Notamacropus eugenii: one gene and its partners. The protein of the gene in region 1 purifies or fractionates together with the protein of each later gene. This does not show direct contact. Links are inferred from orthologs where the notes say so. Each region holds a gene or a part of one and is shown on either strand. Other genes may lie near its edges.

What was found.
Region 2: the proteins of IKBKB (region 1) and CASP8 purify together in Homo sapiens (affinity purification with western blotting; 3 studies listed by BioGRID and IntAct, with this or other methods). This does not show direct contact. The link is inferred for Notamacropus eugenii from reciprocal best matches to the Homo sapiens genes IKBKB and CASP8.
Region 3: the proteins of IKBKB (region 1) and KEAP1 purify together in Homo sapiens (affinity purification with western blotting; 7 studies listed by BioGRID and IntAct, with this or other methods). This does not show direct contact. The link is inferred for Notamacropus eugenii from reciprocal best matches to the Homo sapiens genes IKBKB and KEAP1.
Region 4: the proteins of IKBKB (region 1) and RIPK1 fractionate together in Homo sapiens (co-fractionation; 3 studies listed by BioGRID, with this or other methods). This does not show direct contact. The link is inferred for Notamacropus eugenii from reciprocal best matches to the Homo sapiens genes IKBKB and RIPK1.

The regions. Positions count from the first base shown.
Region 1 is NC_092872.1:618,298,693-618,305,660, reverse strand, and holds the start of IKBKB (inhibitor of nuclear factor kappa-B kinase subunit beta), read left to right. Parts: upstream 1-3,949; 5' UTR 3,950-4,144; intron 4,145-4,826; 5' UTR 4,827-4,839; coding exon 4,840-4,944; intron 4,945-6,968.
Region 2 is NC_092877.1:297,410,436-297,418,286, forward strand, and holds the start of CASP8 (caspase-8), read left to right. Parts: upstream 1-4,841; 5' UTR 4,842-4,978; exon of another isoform or gene 4,979-5,105; intron 5,106-5,313; exon of another isoform or gene 5,314-6,576; intron 6,577-7,851. UniProt on the Homo sapiens protein: Thiol protease that plays a key role in programmed cell death by acting as a molecular switch for apoptosis, necroptosis and pyroptosis, and is required to prevent tissue damage during embryonic development and adulthood.
Region 3 is NC_092875.1:79,705,438-79,712,329, forward strand, and holds the start of KEAP1 (kelch-like ECH-associated protein 1), read left to right. Parts: upstream 1-3,877; 5' UTR 3,878-3,993; coding exon 3,994-4,245; intron 4,246-5,691; exon of another isoform or gene 5,692-5,726; coding exon 5,727-6,368; intron 6,369-6,765; coding exon 6,766-6,892. Other genes in the region: S1PR5 (sphingosine 1-phosphate receptor 5), read left to right, coding at 964-2,121. UniProt on the Homo sapiens protein: Substrate-specific adapter of a BCR (BTB-CUL3-RBX1) E3 ubiquitin ligase complex that regulates the response to oxidative stress by targeting NFE2L2/NRF2 for ubiquitination.
Region 4 is NC_092875.1:172,236,822-172,244,672, forward strand, and holds the start of RIPK1 (receptor-interacting serine/threonine-protein kinase 1), read left to right. Parts: upstream 1-4,847; 5' UTR 4,848-4,972; intron 4,973-7,851. UniProt on the Homo sapiens protein: Serine-threonine kinase which is a key regulator of TNF-mediated apoptosis, necroptosis and inflammatory pathways.

The DNA of each region.
Region 1 (6,968 bases):
ACAGGTTGGAGCACATCACTTCCCTATTTAAGAAGGAATTGCTTTTCCAACAAAATACAAATTCCTTTGACGTTCATACATCCTGGTTTCAGTTTACTTTTCTAGGTTTATTACACATTACTTCCTCTCAAGTTCTCTTGGGTTTCAATCAAATCACCTGCTTCCCCAGCATAATATTCCATTTCCCATCTCTGTGATCTTTACGGGCCATCCCCCCATTGCCTGGAATTCGCTCTCTCCAAATCTCTAAAAAGTACAGGTACTTTTTAGACTCTCTAACTTCTGTGAACACCAACTCATGGGTCATTTCCTATCCCAGTTGATAGTGTTCTCTCCCGGTCCAAAATAGTTGGTATTTATTTATCTATGCCTTGCCTCTGACACATACTGCTGCAGAACTGTGAACAGATTGGTGCCCTACACATCTCTTTAAAACTGGAAAACGCAGAGAAGGGGCTAAACTTTATTGTAGAAGAAGTTTTCTTGTCCACCAGTTCTCTGTACCAATGAAATCACATATCTAGTCCCTTTCTTTGCATATCTGATTAAATATATCCCTCCCAACAGAGTGTGAGCTCTTTGAATGAGTGGGCGGGGGAGAGAGAAACATTTATTAATGATACCTGGTATCATTAATATTTATATAGCACCTAAGATTTGCAATTTCTTTACATATAAATTAGGCAGTCGGGTGGTACAACAGCTAATACTTGAGTTCAAATCTCACCTTAGACATTTACTAGCTGTGCAACCCAGATGTTTTGTGTTTCTCTAAATGTCCTTATCTCTAAAATGGGTATAAAAATAGCACTTACCTCCTAGAATTGTTGTGAGGATAAAATGGGATAATATTTGTAAGATGCTTTGTAAACAACAACCTTGTGAGGTGCGTGCTGTTATTATCCCCATTGAGGAAACTGAGTCTAAACAGTTAAGTGACCTGCGCAGAATTCATCAGTGTCTGAAGTTGGATTTAAAACTAAGATCTTCTAAACCCTAAACCCCAAGTCTTTGACTCTACCTACAAAACCTACCAGTTTAAGGAGGAGTGGGGAGGGGGAGGGGAAGGTGCTGGACAAACTCTGGGAGAGAGAAGTGGGACAAGTGTTCATCAAGCTCCCATTACTACTGTGCCAAACACTTTACAAATGTTAGCTCATTTGATCGTCACAATAATCCTCGGAGGTGATGGTATTATGACTCCCATTTTACAGCTGAGTAAATTGAGGTAGGCAGACCAGTGACTTGCCCAGGATCACACAGCTCCTAAGTTGTTTTTCAGTTGTGTCTGACTCTTTATGACTATTTGGGTTTTTCTTGGCAAAGATACTGGAGTGGTTTGCCATTTCCTTCTCCAGCTCATTTTACAGATGAAGAAACTGAGGTAAACAGGGTTACAGGATTTGCCCAGGGTCACATAGCTAGTAAGTGTCTGAGGCCAGATGTAACCCCAGGTCTTCATGACTTCAGGCCCAGAGCTCCATCTACGGATCCACTGTACCACTCAGGTGCATAGGGATAGAAAGACAAAAGTAGAGAGTCCCTGCCTTCAAGGAGGTCACACTCTAATTCAGACCAATAGGGAAAGACAACACACTGGGGGCAGTGTAGCCAGGAAGCGGCACTTTGATCAGTAAAGTTATAGAGATGGTGGGTAGGGACTCAGGGGACTAGAATACTGTACCCTTTGCAAGAAGAAGGCTAAGTTGACATGGTCATGCTTCTAGAACTGAAGAAGGGTAGAAGGGAGAGAGAAGGAAAATATAGTATACTCAAAGAAGAGAGGCTATTGGGTGAAAAGATGGTCAGGGAATAGGGAATGATGCTACAGGAGAAACATCTGTCTAAGTTCATGTGGTGGGTTAACTGCTGCCAAATATATATTTACCACAAAGCAGAAAATATAGAGCTAAAAACCTAGGTTTTCTGATGATGCTCAAGCCTAGATCAGGCCTCAGAGAAAACCTGAACAATCGTTAGGATTCTGACAAGGCTTCTTATAGGCAAAATTATGTCAGAGTGACTGAGGAATAATTCATTTTCAGATTGTAATAGTGTACATTACATTTAGGTCATAAAAGCTAAAGAGAAAATAGAGCCATGCTCCCTTCAATGTCATAAAAGTTCAACACACTTAGTTAAACATTTATAATTTCGTATATCCTCTAAGGGAACAAACCTCCTCAAACAAACTCTATAAGTAAACTAAGTCAGAATACAGATTAAACTACATTTAGAGGATTTACAAATAAACTGATTAAAGAGGAAGATTTACATGGCCAAGAACTCAGAGACAGTTGAGAATCTTTCTCTGGGTTCTTATTTAAGGAATGTTTAAGGATCTAAGGGCTAAGCAGCTAACTAGGCAGCTCAGTGGCTCCAGCACTTGATCTGGAGTCAAAAAACTGTGAGTTCAAATTTGGCCTCAGTTACTTATTAGCTGAGTGACCCTGGGCAAGTCACTAACCTCCTATTTGCCTCTGTTCCTCATCTATAAAATATGGACGCACTAGAGAAGGAAGTGGCAAACCACTCCAGTATCTTTGTCAAGAAAACCCAATTTACAAGTCAAATATGACTGAACAATAACAAGGTTCTAAGTAAATTTCCATATCCCATGGGACAGGTTTTGGTCACGAGAATTAATATAGACTTTCAGTTAACCAAAATTTGCTGGGGGCATGGTTCTCAGTCCCAAATAAATAGGAAATGAAAAATTCCCATGACAAATTGAAACTTGTCTAGAGTCTGCCTAAAACAATGTACCATTCACCAATGTGGATGTTGGGAAAACTGAGGGAAAGAACTGTTTCCCATTTTGTCTTTGTGTCTCTAGCACCTACCTAAGCACAATGCTTTGTACATTGGATGGATGGATGGATAGATGGATAGATGGATGAAATTATCTAGCTCAATGCTCTCATTGCATGAGTGAGGAAACTGAGGCTCAAGTAAGTTGTCCACAGTCATATTGGTAGTTCTAAATCCTGAGAAATTTTAGACAGAAGGTTTTTCCTCTATAGCAAGCTGCTTCTCCCTTTATCAAGGTTAAATTTCTTTTTGAATTTCCTCATACTCCTTGGGCTTCAAACACTGGCTTTTAATGCAACACTACCAGGTTTTTGTAAGAGCAAGAAGGAACTTACTTTAAACACCCCTTAGATCAACCCTGTCATTTTTTAAAAGAAGAAATAGATCACTGAACCTCAGAGAGGGGAACTGATTTGTTCAAGCCATCCAGCTATTGCAGAAGAGTAAAGGAACTGACTCAATCAGACCTATCTTCTCTGACTTTTCCTCCAGGACTCTTTTGAATTTATCTTTCTTTCTTAGTTTTGGCACGGTGGCAATTTCCTTTGGAATGGGGCTTAACTGTGACTGATCCTTCCAGATAAAAGGAAGAGAGCCTCAAGAAGGGAGGGATAACTGACTTCTAAGGGGGATGACACTGTGGTAATGGCAAATTCTTGTAAATCATCAGCCAATCCACCCTAAGCAGGGACCCAGAAAAAATTCCACCTCATGCAGTGTCAGAGGAAACAGAAAGAGCCCTCCCAGCTGTGGGAAGGCTGAGGAAATCCCCATCAGTGCCTCCATTCCCAGAACCTGCTGCTAGTCAGTTTCATTTGTCTAAGAAAGGGCCTGGGGCTTGTTGCATTCATTCCCTGCTTGGGGGTGCTGGGATTTGGTACCAGAGTATACTGAGAAAGGACCGTCCTTCCCCTTTGTCCCCCCAATATACACCCTCGGATTTTGGGTTTTTAGTTTTAATTTTTAGAACAATACACATCTTCCTGAGAAATCCTGGGAGCTGGGGTCCACTGTTGGAAGAGTCAGGTGGGTTGGAGGGATGCATAGGATGTCCAGTCTAGAACACTAGAAGCCCGGAGCTGAAGGCTTCCTCGGGTCCCTGTGGCCCCTTTAAGAGCCTGCCCGTCCCCCGCCATGTGGCCCGCTGACATCAGAGCAGGAAGTGTTTGAGGAAGTCTAGAGCTAGCAGGCAGGCTGTCTAATCCAGGTCCCTGAACCCTGATGTGGTCTGGGGGGGCACCCACCGACCTAAGTCCCTACAGGTGGTCTCCGCCTCCCTCCCTGTTCCCTGCCCTGGCAAGGGCCGCCTCCCCCTTCCCCAACCACCAGGCAGGTGAGTTCACCCCTTACTTCTCCCCACCCCCCAACCCCCGGGACCCTGAGCTGAGACAGGTGGCTTAAGGTGGGACCAGCTGTGACCTCTTTCTTGTCCCTCTCCTTGGTCACTACTCCTGACATCCAGGGAGATAATCAATCTTGTTTGTCCTTTCCTGGAGGTTTGGAAACAAATTTCTACTGAGTTCTGGAAGTTTGCTTTGCCCACCCACTCTGTTTTGTTCCTGGTTGGTGAGTGTTAAAATCCGGGAGATTGCTGTAAAGCCTAAAGAGAGAAAATACAGCTGGTGTAGGTTCCCCCACTGATCCATTTGAAGTGCGTGGTTTGGCATGGTGGGGAAGGAGGATTCATTCATAGGCTCTCCATACCATATAAAGGCGTATGTGATTTCCCAGGAAGTAAAAAATTGACTTTCAAATTTTTTATCCAGGGAAAGTAGAGGAAGGGAGTCTTAAATGGCACCTTAGGGGGATTCCTTTGGCAATCAAGGGATCTCTTTGAGTAACAGAGGTAGGAGAGGTGTTGAAGAACTTGTTAGAGAAGAGTTTCTTTTTTAAAAGAAAATAAAAACACACTTTTTCCTTCTCACTCACACCCAAAGGCAAGAATCCTCTGTCCCATTCCATCTCTCCAAGGGGTCTTGTTTTTCTTCCTCTGATCCTCCTCTGAATTCCCACAGCAGTAACTTCAGAATGAGCTGGCCACCTTCTCTTCAAATGCAGACTTGTGGGTCCTGGGAAATGAAAGAACGGCTTGGAACTGGGGGATTTGGAAATGTCATCCGGTGGCACAATGAGGTAGGTAGGACCTCTTTCTACCCTGGGAAAGAACAGTCATGAGGTGAGGGGGGTTAGTGCATTTCACACTTCACTTCCCAAGTGGCTCTAGTGAGATTCCTTCTGTTTGATCTAGGTGTGCCTATCCCACCATGTTCTGGGTTTTGATTTGGGTCTTGGTGGTAGGGTGGTCTCATTTGGAGAGAAGAGCCAAAGAGGCAGAAAGAACCTGGATCAGAGTAGGTTCCTCAGATTTGCTAATCTTCTCTAGCCTGCCTGTTGGAGAAACCTTGGACATGTTACCTGCCTAGTCAATCAACTGTCATTTATCAAATAAACCTGACTATGTGCAAGGGAAACAAGGAAAAAGTGAAAATCCCTGACCTCAAGGAGCTTATCCAGCACCTGGATTTCATTATAAACAACAAACTAATGTCCTGACAAAATCCTACCAAAAACCCCAATTTCCCTAAGGTTATTCCACACCAGAAAGTTCCGCAAGTTCTTCACCATAATCAGGAATCTGGCTGAAATGATGGGTCACATCACTGTTGGTTTGTTTGCCTCTGAGGCTCTTGACTGGACAGTCATGACCCATGATTATGCAACTCTAAATGTTAAAGTACACCAGGCCTTCTCAATTCCAAGTGGACAGGACTCTTCCTGGGTATTTGGAGGTTAAATACAAACAGCTTTGGAGTCGGTTGCTTAGGAGAGAAGCTCTCATTCCTGGTGGAGAGTCAGGAGTACTAGCCAGTCCTATACCTGAAAGGACCTGCTGGAAAAAAAGACTACCTCAAACTCACTCAAATCGCTCCACCCACCCTATGGTCTAGCATTAAGTACAATGCCCCCTCTTAGGGTCACCAAATTATTCCTACTTTAGAACATTAAATTCAATAAATATTTATTAAGTACCTACTATAGGAAAGGCACTGTACTGCAGGCTGTGGATAAAAAAACTAAACAGTCTCTGCTTTGAAGGAGTTCACATTCTATTTTAGAGATATGATGGGGACAAGGATAAGTCAATACAAAATATTTAACCCGAGATGTTGATAAAGGGTGATATTCTTATAAAGAGAGTGAATAAATAAAACGTACAGAATCTAGACTCCTTGACTGTCACAGGGACCTATCACTTCCATTTCTGTAGTGCCTTGTAGCATACAAAGTCTTTTCCTCACCACAACCCTATGAAGTCGAAATTACAAGCATTTTTTTTACCAAAGCTTTGATTTTATTGGTTTATGATAATATCAATAAGGAAACATCCTATACCTATATAGATGTGCACATTAGAGAATTGCCTGGGACAGGGATGAAATGACTTGCCCAGGATCTCATGACCCATTTGTGTAAAAGATGGGACTTGAACCTCGATCTTTGGACTTAGAGGCCTTCTCTCTATCCACTGTGCCGTGCTAACTCTCAGGTTTTGTGAGTGTTATGATGCTCATTTTACAGGTTTAAATTTTTTGCCTAAGATCAAATGACTAGAGGGGTTTTATACGGTAGTATTCTTATTGTTGAATCATGCCTGACTCTTCATGATCCTGTGGACCATCTCATCGCTAGCCAGAGCTGGCCATGGGGTTTTCTTGGCAAAGATACTGGAGCAGTTTGCCATTTCCTTCTTCAGTGGATTAAGGCAAACAGAGGTTAAATGACTTGACTAAGGTCACACAACTAGTAAGTGTCTAAGGCCAGATTTGATTTCAGATCATCTTGACTCCAGGCCCAGTGCTTTATCCACTGATCCATCAGTTGCCTCTTTATATGGTAGCACCAGGACCCAAAATTTGTTATCCAGAGTTCAGGGATCCTTGTCTTGCACCATCCTCCATAACAGATCCCTTCTCAGCTTAGTCAAAGGCAGTTACTTTTGCTTTAAAAAAAAAAGGAAAGAAGGTAGTCAAGGGAAGGAAAAGGAGAAGAGGGAGAGTAGAAAGGAGAAAGGAAGAAGGAAGGACAGAAAGAGAAAGAGAATAGGAGAAGAGAGGAGATAATTTCCATGCAAGTGTTCCAGCATTCTATCATACCCA
Region 2 (7,851 bases), on another chromosome or scaffold:
GGTGGCTGTGGAGAGGTAACTGCTAAGATTCTGGGCACAAAAATCCCTTTCTGTGTCCAGACGAGTACAAGCTTGATTGCACCACCTTGGAGGAACTGAGATCTTACATATTCCCAGAGTATATCCAACTCTTGACAAAGGACCCAAAAGCCAAGTAACTGGTTGGGAAAAATGCCCAAAAAAGGGAAAAAAAATAAGACTACAGAAGGTTACTTTCTTGGTGAAGATATCTTTTCCCATCCTTTCAGACGAGGAAGAACAATGCTTACCATCAGGGAAAGACATAAAAGTCAAGGCTTCTATATCCCAAACATCCAAAATAAATATTCAATGGGCTCAGGCCATGGAAGAGCTCAAAAAGGATTTTGAAAATCAAGTTAGAGAGGTGGAGGAAAAATTGGGAAGAGAAATGAGAGAGATGCAAGAAAAGCATGAAAAGCAGATCAACATCCTGCTAAAGGAGACCCCCAAAAATGCTGAAGAAAATAACACCTTGAAAAATAGGCTAACTCAATTGGCAAAAGAGGTTCAAAAAGCCAATGAGGAGAAGAATGCTTTCAAAAGCAGAATTAGCCAAATGGAAAAGGAGGTTCAAAAGCTCACTGAAGAAAATAGTTCTTTCAAAATTAGAATGGAACAGATGGACGTTAATGACTTTATGAGAAACCGAGAAATCACAAAACAAAACCAAAAGAATGAAAAAATGGAAGATAATATGAAATATCTCATTGGAAAAACAACTGACCTGGAAAACAGATCCAGGAGAGACAATTTAAAAATCATGGGACTACCTGAAAGCCATGATCAAAAAAAGAGCCTAGACATCATCTTTCATGAAATTATCAAGGAAAACTGCCCTGAGATTCTAGAACCAGGGAGCAAAATAAATATTGAAAGAATCCACTGATCACCTCCTGAAAGAGATCCAATAAAAGAAACTCCTAGGAACATTGTGGCCAAATTCCAGAGTTCCCTGGTCAAGGAGAAAATATTGCAAGCAGCTAGAAAGAAACAATTCAAGTATTGTGGAAATACAATCAGGACAGCACAAGATCTAGTGGCTTCTACATTGAGGGATCAAAGGGTGTGGAATATGATATTCCAGAAGTGAAAGGAACTAGGACTAAAACCAAGAATCACCTACTCAGCAAAACTGAGAATAATACTTCAGGGGAAAAAATGGTCTTTCAGTGAAATCAAGGACTTTCAAACATTCTTGATGAAAAGACCAGAGCTGAAAAGAAAATTTGACTTTTAAACACAAGAATCAAGAGAAGCATGGAAAGGTAAATAGCAAAGAGAAGTCATAAGGGACTTTACTAAAGCTGAACTGTTTACATTCCTACATGAAAAGACAATATTTGCAACTCTTGAAACTTTTTTCAGTATCTGTGTAGTTGGTGGGATTATACACACACATACACACACACACACACAACACACACACACAGACAGAGAGCACAGGGTGAATTGAATAGGATGGGATCATATCTTAAAATAATAAAATTAAGCAGTGAGAGAGAAATATATTGGGAGGAGAAAGGGAGAAATGGAATGGGGCAAATTATTTCTCATAAAAGAGGCAAGTAAAAGACTTTTCAGTGGAGGGAAAAAGGGGGGAGGTGAGAGAAAAAACATGAAGCTTACTCTCATCATCTTCAACTAAAGGAAGGAATAAAATGCACACTCATTTTGGTATGAAAACCTATCTTACAATACAGGGTAGTGGGGGAGAAGGGGATAAGCAGGGTGGGGGGGATAATGGAAGGGAGGGCAGTGGGAGGAGGGAGCACTCTTGGGGAGGGATAGGATCAAAAGAGAGAACAGAAGAAACAGGGGACAGGATAGGATGGAGGGAAATATAGTTAGTCTTACACAACACAACTATTATGGAAGTCATTTGCAAAACTACAGAGATATGGCCTATATTGAATTGCTTGCCTTCCCAAAGGGAATGGGTGGGGAGGGAGGGATGAAGAGAAGTTGGAACTCAAAGTTTTAGGAACAACTGTTGAGTATTGTTCTTGCAACTAGGAAATAAGAATACAGGCAATGGGGTATAGAAATTTATCTTGCCCTTCAGGACAAAAGAGAAGATGGGGAGAAGGGAAGGAAGGGATGTTAGAAGGGAGGACAGATTGGTGATAGGGGTAATTAGAATGCTCGGTGTTTTGGGGTGGGGGGAGGGGAGAAATGGGGAGAAAATTTGGAACCCAAAATTTTGTGGAAATGAATGTTGAAAACTTAAATAAATAAATTTAAATATAAAGAAAAAAAGATGAGGAAACTGAGGCAGATAGAGGTTAAGTGACTAGCTGAGGATTACACAACTAATATAGTGTCTGAGATAGAATTTGAACTCAGGTCTTCCTTCCCTCAAGCTGTTTTATTTACTACACTACCTAGTTGGAGGTATAACAGACAATGCAGCCAGTACCAGGAAGATGTGTGGTGGAAGGAATGTCATTATCAGGAATGTCAGTGCCAGAAGATAGAAGGAGAGAGAAAGGAAGAGGTTTAACATGAAAGGAAATTTGTTAATTATGGAGCAAGTATTCCAGAGAGTACAGTGGAACAGGATTGATACATCTGGAGCAGGATTCTGTTAGGGTTTGGGTTGAGTGGGATGGGAAGAAGGCTTGTAGTATGTGTGTGTGTGTGCGTGCGCACGTGCATGTGTGTGCATATGTATATATGCACATCATATATGTGCACATGTGTTAGCATATATAGGAATGTTTATATATATTTACACATATAAATATATGTATGTGTTGTATGTATCCATACATATACATATATGAAAATAATGTGGTTTTACTGGTCTTAGGGATATTTCTTAACCAACGGGTAGTTAGAGATGGGGAACAGAATTTGTACATTAGTAACCATGGGGTCAGAATCACTGGAATGGGGAGAGTATGAGGGGGTGAGAGTATTCTGGCCTTTGAGAAATGAGGCCAAAAAGAATAGCAGTGATTGGAGAGAGATCTATTTGGGGAAGTAGGTTCAATATTGTTCAATATAGGTGGAGCTCTGGGCCTGGAGTCAGGAAGACCTGAGTTCAAATCCTACCTTAGACACTTTCTAGCTGTGTGACTATGGGAAGTCACTTAACCTCTGTCTGCCTCAGTTCCCTCAACTGGAAAATGGGGATGAAAAGAGCACCTGTGGTGAGGATTCAAATGAGACATTTGTTAAGTGATTAGCAAAGTGCCTGGCATATGGAAGATGCTTAATAAATGCTTACTCTTCTTCCTACTTCTTGGTGTTGTCCAATCTCATGGTAGATGATGATGTGTCCTGTGAGGGTCCTAGGAAGCTAGTCTCACAGCAGGGACAAGTAGGTGGAGGTAAGGCCCTGTGAATCTAGAAGCCCATTTAAGGAAGAGGAAGATGTGGGGGTGGGGGGGATCAAGGAGAAGCTGGGGAAGGGAGCGGAGGGGAGGGAGGGGAGGGGAGGGGAGGGGAGGGGAGGGGAGGGGAGGGGAGGGGAGGGGAGGGGAGGGGAGGGGAGGGGAGGGGAGGGGAAGGGAGGTAGACGTAACTGAAGTCCCTGCAGGAAGAGATGGATGGAAGCCAGGAGGTGGGTAACTGGTTCAGATTCCTCAAGGTGGCTGATAGCTAGAGAAGTTTTTGGGGGCCAACAGCTTCTGTCTGGGCCTCAGTTTTCTTACTTGTAAAATAAGGAGATTGACTAGCTGTTCTCTAAACTCTTCCTCTTCATGCTGAGGGCAGCAGAAATCACAGCCCTAAAAAACAAAAATAAAATCAATTACTCTGGGCAAAGCCTTCACCCCCCTCTCCACATCAGGTTCCCCACCGTATCTGTAAACCCTAGTGAGGAGTCTCAAATAGTCTTAAAAGAGCAAATGAGATCCTCTTGCCTTACTAAGCCAGGTTCTCGGGCAAGGGATTATGAATTTAATTTGTCTCTGATCATTTTCTTCTCAATTCATCCTGGATTTATCAGCATGTAGGTAAAATGCTGGGCTCTGGGGGTGCAAAGAGAAAACACAGCCCTTGCTCTCTGAGAGTTTTTTTTTTACTGAGCTAGAGGAGCACAATAGAGCTGAGACTGTTGGGGTTCAGATAGTTGAGGGGAAAAGTAATTTCAGGAATTTAGTGAGGATGGGGATGGGGAAAAGTGTTTATTTTTGGAGTGGCAAATTTTGCAACTGGCCTATCATATTGCTCTTCTGGTGGCCCGACTTTACTAATCTTAGATCTCTCTTCCCTCCCCCCCTTCTCTTCTTCCCTTTCTCTTTCTTTAATTCTTTCTCTTGTCTTTCTTTTTATAGTCATCTTTTTTTTTTCCATCACTAAATGTCTACTGGTATGCCTCTCCCTACCCTTCCCAGAGAGCCATCTATATAACAAATATTTTTAAAGGGGAGAGGAGGAAAAGGAAGGATTAAAAAAAAACCTAAAATCGAACGAAGAAAGTGAGAATATATGCAATGTTCCGCACGGTGGACCTCTCCCTTCTGCAAAGGAATTGGGTAGGGGTGGGCTGTCTTCTCATATTAAAGACCCCAATCAACCACCTGCCCTCTGGAGTTACCTGTTCTGAACCAGGGTGGGGCTCCCTTAGACGGTTTTCAAATTGACGTTTCCTTGTTTTGAACTTCACCTTAGGGTCAAGCAGACAATTAGGTCCTGGTCCTTTAAGCTTTTTTTTTTCAGAAGGTGGGGAGGGGAAATGACTCATTCAGTTCCCAGTTTAAAAAATGTGCTGGTTTTCCCTTCGCTGACTTTTTTTTCTTTTCTTTTCTTTTCTTTTTTGCTGAGAATCAGTATCTCCGGGCGCCGCGGGGCTCGCGCTGGACAGCTTCTGAAGCCTGCAGTGTGCCCAGACAGAGCTCAGCCAGCGGGATCTTTCCGGGCTGGTGACTTGACTTAACTTTGAAAGTGCGGAACCGAGAGAGATAAGAGAGGCGGCCCCGCCACCATTTGAACGCGGAATCCACTTCGGTAGGTGAGTTGCCACGGTCCAAGGAAGGAAGGAAGGGGGGGAAGGGGGAGAGAAACCCAATCTCTTACTTTTTCGCGAAGTAGAACCAGGATTTAAGTGACTTCTGTTGTGCTGGGCACTGTTCTAAGGGCTGGGGATTAAAAAAAGGCAAAAAACAGTTCTCAGAAAGTTGTCAGTCTCGCGAGGAAGATATGCAAGATATGCGAGATACATGTATCATGTCCAAACAAGATACATGTATCTTGTCTAAATAAGATACATAAAAGATAAATTGGAGATAGCCTCAGAGGGAAGACGCTAGCATGACAAAGGACCAGATGTAGAAAGTAGAATTTTACCTGGAACTTGAATGCAGGGCAGTCTGGAGGTGTAGCTGGGGAGGGAGAGACTTCCATGAGTGGAAAACAATAATGAAAATGCCTTAAGGTGACAGATGGAGCATTGTGTGTGTTTGTTGTCTGTTGTGACATGAGGAAGGTGCTGTCTCGACTTGCAAATAAGTTTTTAAGTGAGGGAGGGCTGTGCAAAGTCACCAGACTCATTCTCTTCTCCAGTGAGTTCTGGGTCCAGTGGCAAGCTATAGATTAGGACGACTGGAGATGGCTCCAGATGCAACATTGAAGAGTAAATGGGAATTGGAGGGGGGGAGGGAAGGTTACTAAGTTGTAAAAAAAGAAAACCTGGAAAAGTTAAAGAGTAAGTGGAGGGGACTGAGGTGGAAGAAGTCAGAGGGGACCGAGATTATGAAGGGCAGTTGGAGATATGAGGAAGGTGGTCAGGAGAGAGATTAGGGCTAGATAAATAGTTATGAATAAATACAATCTTTAACTTAGAAAAGATCGTGAAATCCATAGAAGCTGATAACATCGCCAAACAGAAACAGTATAGAGGGAGAAGAGGTCGAGAAGGATCGAGACTGAGAAAAGGTCACTAGATATGCTTTTAAGGGATCATTGGTAAATCTGGAGAAAGCAGTTTTAGTTGAATCAGATTTTAAAAAGTTGGGAGAGTGAGAGAAACGAAAGTGAAGGTATTGATTGTCAGTCAGTCAAGTGCCTACTGTGCATCAGGCTGTGTTAAGCAATGGAGATATAAAAAGAATTCGTGCTTCTCAAAAGAGCTCACAATCTAAAGGAGGAAAACATATAAAAGGAAAGGAAAAAGAGGTATCAAGTGCAAAAAAAAAATGTTTGGGAGATTCAAGAGTGCCACTTGGAATAGAATGAATACCTGATGGGCCCAGGCCACCTCCTTAAGATGGAGGTTCTGGGTGGAGCCCAGGGGAAGCGAATGTCCAAGAGTCAGAGGGTTCCATTTTGAATATGAAGTCTGGGAGTAGCGTGAGTTCCAGAGTAAAGAGACATTGTAGAAAAAGTTCTTTCTTGGGCACTGTAGAAAATATCTAGAAGACCCAGGAGGGAGGACCAGAGAGGAAAGGGTTTTGGGGAAGGTTTGTGTTTGCCCTTACTGGTGTGTTTATAGGCAGTAGAGAAAAAACCAGTAGATGGAGAGAAAATGAGGATTAGTGGGAGTGGAGATGACAGAGGAGTGATCTGCTGGAAAAGACAGGGTGGAGTGAGATCACTTGTGTGTAAAGGACTTTGACTTGGCAAATAGAAGGGTCACATCATGTGAGACAGTGGTGAAGGAGGAAATAGGAGTGCAAGGCATCTGAGTGATAGGAGATGAAGAAGGAAGAAGAGGGGGCTCTTTGTGAATGGTCTCAATCTTTCTTGGTGAAATAGGAGGCAAGCTTCTCAGCTGAGAGAACTGGAGGAAGGGGAGCAATGGGAGGATTGAAGAGAGGCAAAAGGAATGTTAGAAAATGATGATAAGCTTATTGTAAGGAATGTTTATTCCAATACTTTAAGGATCTATAATTTCCCTGATGAGAAGACCCCTCCACCAATGCTGATCACAACCTCTCTACCATTTGTCAGGTGGTCTTATCAAAGAGCTATTGTCCCTAATAGTCACAAGCAAATCAAATTCATCTTAGGAAGGTTGATCTAAAGGAAGGATTAAAAGGAAAGAAAGAAAGGCAGTATGCAGACGTGGGGAATCTGTAGCCTCCAGATCACCTGTGGCCTTCTGGGTCCTTGGGTGTGGCCTTTTGATTGAGTCCAGGTTTTGCAGAACAAATTCTTTTTATTAAGGGGATTTGTTTTGTGAAGTTTGGATTCAAAGGGCCTCACTCAAGGACTTTGAGGGCCACATGTGGCCTCAAGACTATAGATTTCCTACCCTTGGATAGATAGTGTACTGGACTTGGAGTCAAAAAGAACTGGGCTCAAATCCAGACACCTACAAGTTGTGTAATTTGCCCAGTTTCTTTGGACTTAGTGACCTGGAAGATCTCGTCTACTTCTGGAATCTATCATCCTATGAAAGTGAAAGAACCAATGACGAAATCTGCATAAAGCATCAAAGAAAAACATGAATACTGTAGGCACTTATATAATACATGTATCAGTCTGCTAGAAAAGGTTTTTAAGAAAAAAAATTATTAATCTGTAACCAAACTCTTTCTAGCATGGAGAGGGATGATGAAATTGGCATAATCCACATGCACTTTGACATGACTCTGTCCTAGAAAAGCTTACTGGTAACATGTACACCTAAGGAGTCTGCACCAAGGGAAAGATAGCTTGTGTTGAAATTCCATCCCATCCCCTGAGTAACGCTGTGATTTGTGTGGATCGTATCTACTGATTTAAAAAAAATTATTAATTCATTCATTTAAAAATAACAAGTCATTATGTTAACATAAATAATATTTTAATGAAAATTACTGTTTTCCAAAACAAAAGAATATTAATGATGAGACTGGCACTGTTTCACATAGTTTTGCAAATCTCTTTAATGTCTGTCTTAAT
Region 3 (6,892 bases), on another chromosome or scaffold:
GTTTTAAATCTGGAGACTGGATGGGATGATGGAGAGAGGGGGTGGGGAAGTCCTTTTTCAGTTAAGGATTGAATTAAATGGTCTCTAACGTGCTTTCCAACTCTGAAATTCAGTGATTGGAAGACTTGTGTATCTGTGAATTTGTAGTTGTTCACATGTATAACGCTAAGTCTCTGTGAATTTGCGTGTCTACTTATTTGTGTATGTGTAATTGCTTTATGTCTGTGGATCTGTGCCTGCCTGTGCAACTCTACTTGTGTGTGTGGCTTTTGTGTCTGTGCGTGTGTCTAGGAGTTCTGGGACAATCTGCCTCCGCCCCACTGGTTTGGCCCAGCTCCGGTGCCTGCCTGGTTCCTGGCCCGGAGGTCACAACTCATCCCCTCCCTGGAACCTCCCCCGCTGTTCCTCATCACTCTGGAGCTGCCTGCGAGGTCTTTGCCAAGGGCTAAGCCCACTCACCCCTTCAGCCCCCTCACTCCAGACTGGCTCTAGGGACAGCTGAGCCGGTTTCTGCTCTAGAGAGGGGCACAATGGCCCCAAGGGCATCTCGGACCTTATTCCTGCGGGGCACAGCAGTTCATTCGGTCTTTTTTCTAGGCTGGCTGGGTTCCCAGAATGGGGAAAGGGGGAGAAGCTGTCTCTCGCTCCTGCTACTCCAGAGGCTTTCCGGAGGAAGTGGCCAAAACTCCCAGGGCTCAGGAATCTGAGGAGAAGGGAAGGTTTGGGGGAGGGGGGGGAAGGAGGACCCTGGGGCGCTGGAATCTCTAGAGGCTGGCTCTGGGGAGAACTCTGCCACTGACTTGGTCCTCTTCCTTCTCCAGCAGGGCTGGGACCAAGATCCAGGGCTCAGGCCTGTGAACGATTTCTTTCCCAATGCCCAGTATGGTGATGTAGCCACGCATCGGTGAAGCGCCTCAAGAGGCAAAGAACCACGAGGAGGAGGAGGTGGGGAATTAGGCCACCATGGAGCCGCCTCCGGCGCTCCAGGTTGTGCTAGGGAGTGAGGTGATCGCTCTGCACTACAACTACACCGGCAAACTGAACGGGGCTCGCTATGATCCCGGCAGCGGCTTGCGCGCAAGTGCTGCAGTCTTCCTGGCAGTGTGTGGCCTCATCGTCCTGGAGAATCTGGCGGTTCTGCTAGTCCTCTGGCGGCACAAGAAGTTCCATGCGCCCATGTACCTGCTTCTGGGAAGCCTGACCCTCTCCGACTTGCTAGCCGGCGCCGCCTACACGATCAACATCCTGTTGTCTGGGGCCCGCACCTTGCACCTGTCGCCCGCTCTCTGGTTTGCCCGCGAGGGCGGTGTTTTCGTGACACTGGCTGCCTCGGTGCTCAGCTTGCTGGCGATAGCGCTGGAGCGACACTTGACCATGACAAGCCGTAGGCCGGCGCCCACACACCGGCGGGGACGCACCCTGCTGCTGGCGGGAGCTGCGTGGCTGGCGTCCCTGCTGCTCGGGCTTCTTCCTGGCCTCGGCTGGAACTGCCTCGGCCGCCTGTCCCAGTGCTCCACAGTGCTTCCCCTCTATGCCAAGTCCTACGTGCTTTTCTGTGTGCTTGCCTTCCTAGTCATCCTTGTGGCTATTTTTGCGCTCTATGCCCGCATCTATTATCTGGTGCGTGCCAACGCAAAGAAGTTGCAACTTCGGGCTGCGTCCGGAGGGTCCCGCCGCCTGCCCAAGTCTTTGGCGCTGTTGCGCACGGTGACCGTGGTACTGCTGGCGTTCATCTTGTGTTGGGGACCACTCTTCTTGCTTTTGCTGCTGGATGTAGCGTGCCCAGCTCGAGCCTGCCCAGTACTCCTGCAGGCAGATTACTTCCTGGGCCTAGCCATGGCCAACTCGCTGCTCAATCCCATTATCTACACGCTTACTAGCCGGGACCTACGCCGTGCGCTCCTGCGCCTTTTCTGCTGTTACCCGTGCTGCTGCTGCTGCTGCTGCTACAGGCCCCTGCGCCCAGGGCCAGGTGGTGGTGAAGGTGTGGCCAGCGTACGCCTCCGGCTACCGCCTATACTGGAGTGCAGCACCAGCAAGTCGGAACGTTCCTCGAACCGACATGAAGTCGACACGAGCGTCTCCACAAGCAACGCCACGCCCACTCCAGTTAAGACTTAGGTGCAGAAAGTCACAGACTGACACTTTATTCCCCAATCCCTCTATAGGACCCAGTCCTCTCCTTCTGCACTATTTTTAGATTACAGGTTGTTTTTATTGTTGTTTGAAAAATAAAGTAATTTGTATTAGAAAGCCTGAGTATCGGGGAACGGACACACCTCGGAAACCTAGATCTCGAGGAGAACCTGGCCTGAAATTTTGAAGTCCTCATTAGAAAAACCCAGAGTCGTCAGTGTCAGGTTAGGTTCTAACTTCCTTCGCTTGGAACTCCAAGTTAGCCACCCTACATAAGCGATAAAAGGGAAGAGCCCTTGCCAAAGACTCAATCTCTCTGCTGGTCAAGGCTTGTGGGAAAATCTTTGTGCTGCCCCCATCTCATGCCTGGCTGATCTGTGCATACGCTAACCCGAATCCAAGTGTTGCTCTTATTTTTCCCATAAAATAACACCTAAGAGCTCTACCACGATCAGTCAGTCCCCTACCCTTCTGAGATGCAGATTGCACAGCTCTGACCTTAGAGTCTCAGTTTCTAAATCTGATCTACACTTCGCTGCCCTAGCCTACTAGCGTCTGCGCGCCTCCACCTCCCGGTAGCCCCCGGAACTGCAGAGGACCTAGGTAGCTTTGTTAAGGAGGCTGGAAACCCAGAGATGGGCGGGCGAGTTGGGGGGTAAGGGGAAGGGAGAATTCCAGTTGCATCTTGGCTCAGGTCTCAACCTCTCCTTAGATTCCAAGTTTTAGTTATTCCAAGTCCTGTCCAAGTCTGTGGCCTTGAGTTACTTGAAACTCCTTCCCCTAATCCCAGGCGATCCCTTTTAATGCCTTGGAACCCCGGGATCTTCCTCTAAATCCGCTTAGATTGAGACCCTCGGATTTACAATGATCCTGCCGCAGCCCTGGCCAGAGTTGGTCCTTTCTATTACACCCATCCTTTCCCTTCCCAGCCACCAGCATCCTGTGGATCCTTGGATTCCCAGGTCTTTGATACACTTCTTATCACCGAAGCAGAGGGAGGCTTCCAAGAGTAGAGAGGCACCCAGCTCCTGGGGACTCTGACCCCTGGTCTAGGACACCCGTGTCACGCCCGTCTGGGTAGGAGCCGGAGTCACCCGCAGGGCTGGGAGAGGAGTCGCCCTCTCCTTTTTCTCCCTCCCTCTAGGTGTGTTTCGGGGATGGGGGCGGGGTGGAACTGCCGTTTTTCTCCAAAAGTTCAGGCCTCAGTGAGTGCGGGCAGGTGCCTCGGCGGTGGTGAACAGCACGTGCTTTGGGATCCTCAATCACTCTCTACGCCCGGCCTAGGAAAGGCAAAGGCCTGGCTTCAGGTGGCCGGAGGAGAGGGGGTCAAGTGAGGTGTTGAGTGTAGCCGCGCTAGCCTGGAAGGAGGGGCGGGCGAAGCATCGAAAGCAGCGAAAGGTTTGCCAGCCGCAAGGGCTGCTTCTGGGGCAGGGCTGGTGAGTCACGGACAAGCTGGGCCACTGGGGTCGGTCCAAGAGGCAAAGTCGGACATCCCGAGAGCTTGTGGTGAGTCCTGGGGCCAGGGGCCCATGAAGCCCCAGCCGAGGTCGCATCACGCCCTGGGCTTCCGGGACAGGCTAGCCCCCAAGGGCGCTCAGACTCCCCCCAGCGCCGGGGTCGGGGAAGGTAGCCCAGGGGAGGCCCTCCAGCCTCCGCCTCTGTCGCCAGTCACACGAAGTAGCTCCGTTTCCACGCTTTCCTTCGCGCTTGGGTTACCCAGGGACGACCCTCGGACGGGGGAGGGGAAAGAGGCGGGAGCAGGGCCCCTCCCCTACTAACCTAGCCTCCTAACTCTTTCTGGGGGAGCAAAACCAAGCGTGTCCCCTTTTCCCCTTGCGCTGGCTGGAGGACCCGGCTATGGGCGACCCCGTTGGCCGAAGCCCGGGTGGCGGACCAAGGGACTCTTATTCTGACAAGGCCGGGGCGCGCGGTCTGCTTAGTCACGGTGACTTTATCCTCCCCTCGCCCCGCCCCTTCTCCTCCCCCCCTCCCCGCCATCTCCCTTCCACCGCTCCCCCCACCCCCATCCCCCCCGCGCGCCGCGATGGAGGCGCCCGAGCCCGGGAGGCGGAGGCGGCGGAGGAGGAGCAGGAGTGCGGCCATGGCTGGGTGAGTAACGCGGCCGCTACCGCCGCCGCCGGAGCTCGCGCCCACGGGGCTGCGGGAGGCCGCGGCCGGCAGGGGCCCTGCCCCGAGCCGGGACCAGGCAGCGGGTACGGCGTTTCAAGAGCCCGCGACCTCGGTGCCTGCTCGGGTTCGGGCTCTGGCGCCCGGCCGGGGGGAAGGCCGCTGTGAGGGGTTCGGGGTGGCGGGCCCCGGATCCTCTTTGCAGCCCGGGGCCCGCCTGGCGGCGCGGGTCGAGGCTGTCTGGAGACAGGCGCACCCTTACCGCGGGCAGGCCCGGCCCGGCGCCCTCCCGGCCCGGCGCCGCTTTGTTTCCCCACGTCGGCCCGGCCTTCCCCGCCCGCGCCGGGTTCCCTCCTTCGGAGGGCGGGTTCTGGGGCTCAGGGCCCGGCGCTGGAGGGGCCCAGATCCTATCCCGGGCTACCCCAGGGCCTGCAGAGCCAGTTGCGGGCGGGCCGGGCCGGGGCAGGAAGTAGGTGCGCAGCCATTGCGCCGCCCCAGCCTCGGGCCTCGGGCCGGCAGGCCGGGCCCCACCGGTGACATTCGTGCGGCTGCCCCGGCTTTGTCCCCTTTGGGCGGCCCGGCGGCCCGGGGAGGGTGTGGGGGGAGGTTCGGGAAGGGAAGGAGCGCGAGCCCCGACGTCACATAGCTAGGAAGCTGTCCCGCCAGGCTGGAACCTGGGGCTTTCCTCCAGCCGGGGCTGGGCCAGGGATGACCCAGAGCAGGGGCGCAGAGGGAGCCACCAGCCCCGAAATAGCAGGACAGGAGTGGAAGGCAGGGGTGTCACATACGAGTTAGGTAATGTGGGGGGCGCCTGGTAGGGATGTGGGGGGTGCCTGGTAGGGATGTGGGTGTCCACTATTTAGACAGAAAGGTATCTCTCAGATATTTAGGGTAGTTGTAACACTGGTTTGGGACCATCTGCTTTTTGCACTTGGAGCCAGAGTTTGGAGTCTCAGGAACTGGTTTTGAATTCTATCTCTTACCACTTGTGCATTAACTTCTCATATCCTCAGCTTCCTTATCTTTAAAATGAGGTTGACCTCTGGGGTCTACGATCCCATCAAGGCTCAGATCCAGACCAGAGAAGCCTCAACCAGGAGTCTGGCTGGGGAATATACTTATTATCTATTTACATAGCCCTTTTAAGTTTTGCAAAGTACTTTACACAGGTTGTCTCATTTGAAAGAGGCTCCACCCAGGCTAGGATTGCTACTTGGAGTGCCAGCTGATATTGATAGGGCTCATTTTTAGGTTGGCATTCTAAGCACCTAGGGTGGGTGGAGGCTGGCTGCTCTCCCCTGGGATAGTCTTCTTAGCAAAGGAGAGAAGTTTCCCCAGGAGAGAGAAGCAAGCCCATGGAGGAGTGGGTTCTCCCTACCAGGACTGGCACCTAGGGCCTGATCACCATCCCCTCACCCTCACTCCCAGGTGTGTGATTCCAGGCGGTGGCAATGTTTTTCTAGAGCCTGATGAAGCCAGTGTCTGGGCATAGCAGGGGTGTTCCCTGTGCCCATTCTCTCCCCCTTCTGTCCAAACGCCCTGGGGGGGCCGGCTATGCGGTGATGTATGCCACGGAGTGCAAGGCGGAGGTGACACCCTCCCAGCATGGCAACCGGACCTTCAGCTATACCTTAGAGGACCACACCAAACAGGCCTTTGGCATCATGAATGAGCTTCGGCTCAGCCAGCAGCTATGTGATGTGACTCTGCAGGTCAAATACGAAAATACACCTGCTGCCCAGTTTATGGCTCACAAGGTTGTACTCGCCTCCTCCAGCCCAGTTTTCAAGGCCATGTTCACCAATGGGTTGCGGGAGCAGGGCATGGAAGTGGTCTCTATTGAGGGCATACACCCCAAGGTGATGGAACGACTCATAGAGTTTGCCTACACTGCCTCCATCTCCATGGGGGAGAAATGTGTGCTGCATTTGATGAATGGGGCTGTCATGTACCAGATTGACAGCGTAGTTCGGGCCTGCAGTGACTTTTTGGTGCAGCAGCTGGATCCCAGCAATGCCATTGGCATTGCCAACTTTGCTGAGCAAATTGGCTGTGCTGAACTCCATCAGCGTGCCCGGGAGTACATCTATATGCACTTTGGGGAGGTAAGTGTGTATATGTTTGGTGGCCTGGGAGTTATCAGGTGGTAGTGGTAGTGAGTGATTTACTTTCTGGAGATAACTCTAGTCCTGTGCCTATCAAAACATCACACCTCTGGTTGAGGTGTATAGAGTCAGAGTGAAAAAGCATAATTTGATGGAGTCTGGCTGCTACCTGTACTTGTTCATTTGTTTAATAGTACTGCCTGAGCTTTGGGGAGGAGCTGGGAGCATTCTGTTTCCCTGTGTCTCCACTCAGGGGTGGCCCCACTGAAAGCAGGAAGTACACAGCTCCTGATGGTGGTAGTCCAATCCCAGGAGGATGGGGGGGGGGGGGGGGGCATCGCTTTGGACTGCAGTCAAGAACCTCCTTGCTCCCACTACCTCTCATCCCCTCTACCAGGTAGCAAAGCAGGAGGAATTCTTTAACCTATCCCACTGCCAGCTGGTTACACTTATCAGTCGGGACGATCTCAACGTGCGCTGTGAGTCCGAGGTCTTCCATGCCTGCATCAATTGGGTCAAATATG
Region 4 (7,851 bases), on another chromosome or scaffold:
ATAAAGCTACAAAGTTTACTTACAAAGTGAATCTGCTTTTATGTTTTATTATTATTGTATTGCTGATATATTTTAATATTTAATATTATTTGATAATATTTTAGTTAATATATTTTAATGTTATAATATTTTAGTTAGGTACAGCTAAACAGAGCAGTGGATAGAGTGCTGGGCCTGGAAGAAGACTCATCTTCTTGAGTCCAAATTTGGCCTCAGAGTCTTACTAGCTGTGTGATCCTAGACAAGTCATTTTACCTTGTTTGCCTCAGTTTCCTCATCTGCAAAATGAACTGGAGAAGGAAATGGCAAACCACTCCATTATCTTTGCCAAGAAAACCCCAAATAGGATCACAAAGCATCAGATGCAACTGAAAAATGATACAAAAAAGAATAAATGGTTAATGTAAGAGTCTACAATTGATATTCTTTTCAAGTACATAGACCTAGAAGTCCTAGGAACAATTTTTGGAAGGTGAGAGGAGAAATGAGCAGAGCCCCCTTCAAAAAAGGCAGGCCTCTCACAGAGCAACCATGGTACAACATCTGTAACCAGGGTGGAGAGTCTGGATAGATGGGGTGGGTAGTAGCATCCAAAGTTAGGTCTGTCTTCAAGAAGATAGCTCTTCTCTTCTGTAATGGGAGGTAATTTCCTTAAACTAGTAAAGGGGAGAGGTAAGAAATGCCACCTAGGCACACCTGTGTCTGATAGCAGCCTGCTGTCTCCACTCTCCAAGGCCTTTGTATGCATTCTCAATTTCAGCTCAACAACCAATTAAAAGTCTTCACCTTCAACAGTGTAGTAAGTGGATAGTTGCTCAAATGCAAAATGTACACTTGCCAGAAAGACTATTTTATGGAGAACTCACACAGGGCAGTCATTCACATGGTGGTCAGAAGAAATGATACAAGGACACTCTCAAGGTCTCGCTTAAGAACTTTGGAATTGATTGTCACATGGGAGACACTGGCACAGGACTGCTCAACATGGCATGCTCACATCAGAAAAGGTGCTGTGCTCTATGAGCAAAGCAGGATTGAAGTAGCTCAAAAGAAACAAGAGATGTGCAAATTTAGAGTATTCAGAAAGACTATTTGTGCCTGACCTGTGGTAGAGCATTCAGAGTTCATATTGATCTGATCAGGCAGAGATGCTGAAACTTGACTCTATCATAGTGATACCATTTTGGTCCTCTTCCAGAATGGACAGCAACCAACCAACCAAATGGATAGGAAACCATGACATGGTATGTATTGGGACAGGGCCTCTCCCTTCCACATTTATAGACTTCCATAAGTAGCTCACCAATACCATCCCCAAAACCTCAAGGGGCTGGCAGCAAGTGAAGCAAGCTACATGTACTCTAAGGATGGGGTTCCCATTGGCCAGTCTTACTGAGATATACCAGTGAAGGGGGAGGTGTACACAAAGACTGAACTGAGTAGAAGGTCTTACTTGCTCTGTGTGATCCCCCAGGAAAAGTCACTTCACCTCAGTTTCCTCATCTGTAAAGTGGGGCTAAAAATAGCACCTACTTCCCAGGGTCATTGTGAGGATTAAGTGTTATATTTGTAAAGTACTTAGCACAGTTCTGATATTGAGGCAGCTAGGTGGCTCAGTGGATAGAGTACTGGGTCTAGAGTCAGAAATACCTGAGTTCAGTCTCAGACATCGACTAGCTGTGTGACCTTGGGCAAGTCATTTAACCTCTGCTTCAGTCCACTGGAGAAGGAAATGACAAACTATTTTGTCAAGAAAACCACATAGACAGTATTGGCATGCAATAGTCCATGGGTTCACAAAGAATTGGACTAAACAATATTATATCTTGATATGGAGTGATGCCAAAAAAATATATATATCTATATATCTATATACACACACGCACACACACACCATCTTCTTTTTCAGGAGCTAACACTGTGTGGGTGTGGATGGGTTTATGGCTGTGTGTATGCTATAAAAGATGACAACCATCCCATTAAACACCCTTCCTGGTCTCAGTTTGTTCACCTGTAGAAATAAGAGATTGGACTAAGGACTCTTTTCCAACCCTAATATTCTGTGACACAAATAATTTCTTTGTGGTGAGTCAGGAAATGGTGATTGGGGTGTCTAGAAATATGGCGACAGACAAGTTCGTGGATTTAATCCTAGAAAAAACTTTAAAACGATAGATTGAGAGCCATGGAGGACCTCAGCGAGAGGCTCCCATTTTACTACTGATGAAACTGAAATCCAAAGAGGGTGAATGTGTCCAAGGTCACAAAGAGAAGCAGAGCTTGGATTCAGACCCAGGTCCTCTGAGCCCAAATCCAGCACTCTTTCCATGTCCTTAAGTAGCATTAAGGTAAAATTAATTTTCAAGTTCTTAATAGTCATTGCTAGGCAAGGCACTTGTGAAAGGATCTTAGAAAAAATTAATATTTATATTTGCTGAGTAATTTTAAATCCTATGCATTCAGATTTTTTCAGAGAGCCAAGATGGTTTTTAAAACATTACTGGAAAAGAGTATATATCAAGATACTCTTATTCTATATGCTACTGATAAGATTTATCTTGGCCTAATAATGGAAGTGGAATCTAATTAAACTCTAAATATATGGTGGAAACAATAAAAACAGTGGAGGGGGAGGGAGGGGGAGCACAGAACTTCTCTTCTCATTTTTATTGAAATTTTCATTTGTTTTTACTCTATTGTAGTCTAACTTCCCTATCCTTTCAAATAAAACTGAACTATAATAAGGATTTTAAAACAAGCACTGTGTGCTTTCCTCTCTCTTATTACTCCCTAAGCTGAAAACCTAGGATCTGTTGTTCCCTTATCTACTTAAAAAAAAAAAAAAAGCTCTATCTTCCATAAACGTCCTTATGATTTCATAATGATTTCATTCAGCACCTACTTCATAGATAAGTCATGTGATATTCTTGTAGTTGGGAAAAGCCACATCCCTAAAACTTAGCTGTCTATTCCAGACACTGGGCAAGGTTCTTAAGATCCCACTTCTGCTTTCTGCAACAGTTTAGTGTTGCAGTATTAAAGCAATTTGATCTATACCACATACTATTTTGTTCCCATTAGAGGCCAGCACACTATACAATTGGAAGGATGGTCTATAAAGTTCATCCAGTAATTTTCTGCAGCAACAGAAGCACAGATCCAGGCCCTAACGTTATCAGATGTTGATGAATAGACATCTGTCCACATACTCAAAACTGATTCAAAGTGCTAGTAAGGCAGGATATGGACCTAAGTCCATATCATTGTTCATAACAGAGCAGTATGGCCTCCTCCAATGGGAATGAAATGACATGTGGTATGGAGTGAATTGCATTTAAATACTAAATCTGAACTGTTGGTCTGCAGAAAGCAGACAAGTATACCCTGAAGAACTTTACCAGAAGTCAAGGATGGACAGCTCAGCTTTAGGGATATAGGTTTTCCCAGCTACAAGGATAGTAAGTACATGGCTCATTTATGAAGTAGGCGCTAAACTGAAAAAATATGGGCATCTATGGCAAATAGCGCTTTTGGCTGAGAGGGTAGTAACAAAAAATAAAAATTTCAGTAAAAATGAAAGAAAAGTCCTGTAATTTTTTGTCTCACACCACTGTTTTTATTGTATCCACCAGATATTTAGAGTCTACCTGGAGTCTACTTCCATTATTAGGCACACACAATACACAACACACACAAACATACACATACACGTAAATCTTGAATAGACACTACAAATGAGCCATGAGCTAGCCCAGGACTGAACGAGAGAAGAGAATAGGCTACATTGCCATTGGGAAATTGCAGTTATTTTAATGACCACAAACTTTCCCTTGAAACAGGGACCAGTCTTTAAGGTTAACATTCTCACCATTATGTAAAATAGCTATAACATACATTATCATTACGTTATTAGAGAAATTCATATTTCTGTAATATTTTACTACAACTTCTGACAATTTCGGGGGGAGGGGGGGAAGCAACGAAACAAACCAACAACTGAATTCTGCTGCTCTTTAGTAACATATGCAAAGTCAGTTTCCCACTGATCTGAGGCATTTAGGGAAAAGAGAAACTGAGGTGGGGAGATGAGAGGGGTGGTGCTTGGACATCCCAAAGCAGGGACAGGGGAGTAAAAGATACACATGGTCCAACATAGTTCCCAAATCCTTCTTTGTTATTGTTATAACCAGTAAAGTTAGTAAAAGTCTTTGTGACAGAATCTGTGAGGTTTGTAAAGAGATCCCCTGTAGCATTCATCCAACAACCTTTAGAACAGAGATTTTTCGTGGACCTTTAATGGGTCTACGAATAGTTTTGTAACAGTCCACAAACTTGGATAGGAGAAGAATACATCTTGATTTTCACTAACCTTTAACTTGGCATTGCCTTCTATTATTATTTAAAAACATTATTCTGAGAAGGGATCCACATTCTTCATTAGATGACCAAAGGAGCACATGGCACGAAGGTTTACAGCATTTAATTGGACAAAAATCATCCGGATGTTCTGATATAAATAACATACTTTCCTAAAAGAAGGCTACTACTTTTTTTTTATTTTACCCTTATCTGTGTGGTGCTAGTGTTGTTTCCAGGATACGGACCACGAAGATAAGAAATTCCGCGTCAGACAAGACTTTAGCCAAAACACTAGAAACAGTGTTTCCGCTTCTGCTATGTATCTGTGCAAGCTTGCCGGAGAGTTTTCAGGGGCGGTGACGTGGGGCTCCGGCTATATAAAGGCCGGAGAGGGGCAGACTGAGCAGTCAGAATCACGGAAGCGTGGCGCATCCCTCGGCTTCCCTACTCCTTGTCCTCCGCCCTGTCGCCAATCCCCACCCCGGCAGCCCCTGCTGACAGTCGGTAGCTCCCGGACTGGGAGATCGCTCTGCGGGCGGGCCAGCCCTGCCCCGCCAAGCGCACCCTGTTGTCACCAGCAGTCACGTAGCTGCGGGACCCTTGGAAGAGCCAGGTGAGCGGGTCGGGAGGACGGCCACCCCCGGGCTGGCGTGCGCCAGAGTCGGCCTTGGCAGGGCCCTCTCCGGACCCCAGGGACCCTTCTTCTTTTGGGAGGGCTTGACGCCCTCCGTTGCTACTGTTGCAATCCCAGAGTTTATTCGGGCGGAACTCGGGGGTGGCCTCCAAGCACTTTCTTCTCGCTCTGGGCTGGGGAGAGCTTTGTGTTGCCCCGAAAAAGAAACTAACTTTGCCCCAAGTTGCGACTGCGCGGTTTCAGCCTGCCTGGTTGATTCGTTAATGGCGAATTTCTGGGCAAAAACCTGCGCCGCTGGGGCCTTCCCTATCTGGACCGGGACTGAGGCCGCCGGTCACCAGACGGGACGGTCCTGACAGCCCTCGAGGTGCAGCCCCGTCCTGCTACCTAGACGGCTGCCCGCCTCTTTCCTGGAAGCAGAACTCCGTGGGCAGGGTTGTGGTCTTGGTCTGTTGCACTGGAGGGGCGGCCCGTAGTCTGTTCTGGTCGGGGTGGAAAGGCTTTGTTGAGCCCTCCAGCCGTGAACGTGACCTTCCCGGAGGGACTGAATCTGAGAATGCCAGCTTCTCTCGTCCCAGAGTCAGTGCTTGATTATGAGAACGACTTGCTAATCTGCCTCTGTCAGTCTCTGTGCCCCTGTCTCAGTTTCTTCTTCTACGGATATAGAAATACATCTATGAGACTATATTGCTAAAATGCAGAAGTGTAGATGGCAGAGGTGTGCCTCCCAGGATGGACTGAGTCAGCTGTTCACACCGGGGTATCTAGCCTAGTTGACTTTGGGAAGAAAACTGCTGAATCCTACTGTGGGCAACACTTGTCTCAAGACATTTCCCTGACTTTAGTAGGCGAATCAACCGAGAGGAGAAATTGTGTGTTAGTAGGAATGGGTGTGGGGTGGGGAAGGTAGAGGTTTCGTGCTGATTGGACAGCCCCGATCTTCTGGGGAAGATTGGGGTGGGGTGGGGATTTGAGGGGGAGAGAGGGGGGAAGTGGACGGAAGGCAGTGTCCAAACTAGTTCTTAAATGTTTTACGTCACAACCCCGATAGATAGTCTCCGTCTAGGCTTTAGGTAAAAATCAACCAGATGTTTTGATATAACCGACATTTTCTTCTCTTACATATAAAGTACATTTTGCTTTTCGAAAGTGAGTTATTGCTGTTTTATTTCTGCGTACTGTCTTGGTCTTATTTTTGCACCGTTTATTTATGACAGATGCATAATTGTTTAAAGTTCTGTTGGCTATTTTAATAAAATGTGGCATTAGCAATAGAATTTCTAGTGCAGTTTTCACTTAGAGTATTTTACTCAACAATCAAAGTTATGGCAAGTTATTATAAATCAAATTAGAGTCATTGGCCCTATTTGGTTCACAGGATCATAGACAACTTGTTCTTTCCCACTTATATCATTCTCTTCCAGTTGGAGAAACTAGGGCACAGAGCTATCAAATGAACTTCTGAGTGCCTGGGGTAACCATGGGCACTTACGCCTTTTCCAGAGATGCTGAGGAAAATAGGATTTCATCAGGGAGTCTCTCCTCCAACGCACACTGTCTGTGTGAGCCTGTACCAGTATTTCCAAGATTCTAAGTTGGAGATAAGGTGCTGATCTGCATTGAGATTCAGTTTCCTCACCCTGAAGCTTCCCATACCAAATGAAATAATAGGTCTGATCATTATCCCTATCCCTATGTCCACAGTGAGATGTAGGAATCAATAAAGCAGTCAACAAGCATTTAATAAATGCCTACTATGTGCCAGGTATTGGGGATAAAAATACAATAAATGAAATAATCCCTTGGAGCCTGCACTTTCAAAAATAGAAGTAACAATATTTATAAACAAAAAATTATCAAAGAAAGATTTTAAGAAAGGAGTGTCCTTGAAGGTTTGAGTCTGTATTTCTAATGTATAAAGTATTGAGACAGGCAGTGTGAGGCATTGTAATAATAATGATGATGATAATAACAGATAATTATATAGCACCTACTATGTGCCAGGTACCATGCTAAGTACTTTACAGTTATGATTTCATTTGATCTTCACAACAACTCTGGGAGATGCTAATATTGACCCCATTTTACCGATGAGGAAATTGAAACAAATACAGATTAAGTGACTTACCCAGGGTCATAAAATTAGTAAGTGTCTGAGGCTGGATTTTTTTTTTTATTTTTAAAATTTATTTAACTTTTAACATTCATTTTCACAAAATTTGGGGGTCAAATTTTCTCCCCTTTTGTCCCCTCCCCCCACCCCAAAACACCAAGCATTCTAATTGCCCCTATCACCAATCTGCCCTCTCTTCTATCATCCCTCCCTTCCCTTGTCCCTATCTTCTCTTTTGTCCTGTAGGGCCAGATAACTTTCTATACCCCATTACCTGTATTTCTTGTTCCCTAGTAGCAAGAACAGAACTCGACATTTGTTCCTAAAACTTTGAGTTCCAACTTCTCTTCATCCCTCCCTCCCCACCCATTCCCTTTGGGAAGGCAAGCAATTCAATACAGGCCATATCTGTGTAGTTTTGCAAATGACTTCCATAATAGTCGTGTTGTGTAAGATTAACTATATTTCCCTCCATCCTATCCTGCCCCCCACTGCTTCTATTCTCTCTTTTGATCCTGTCCCTCCCCAAGAGTGTTGACTTCAAATTGCTCCCTCCTCCCATTGCCCTCCCTTCCATCATCCCCCCTACCCTGCTTATCCCCTTCACCCCCACTTTCCTGTATTGTAAGATAGGTTTTCATACCAAAATGAGTGTGCATTTTATTCCTTCCTTTAGTCGAATGTGATGAGAGTAAACTTCATGTTTTTCTCTCACCTCCCCTCTTTTTCCCTCCACTAAAAAGTC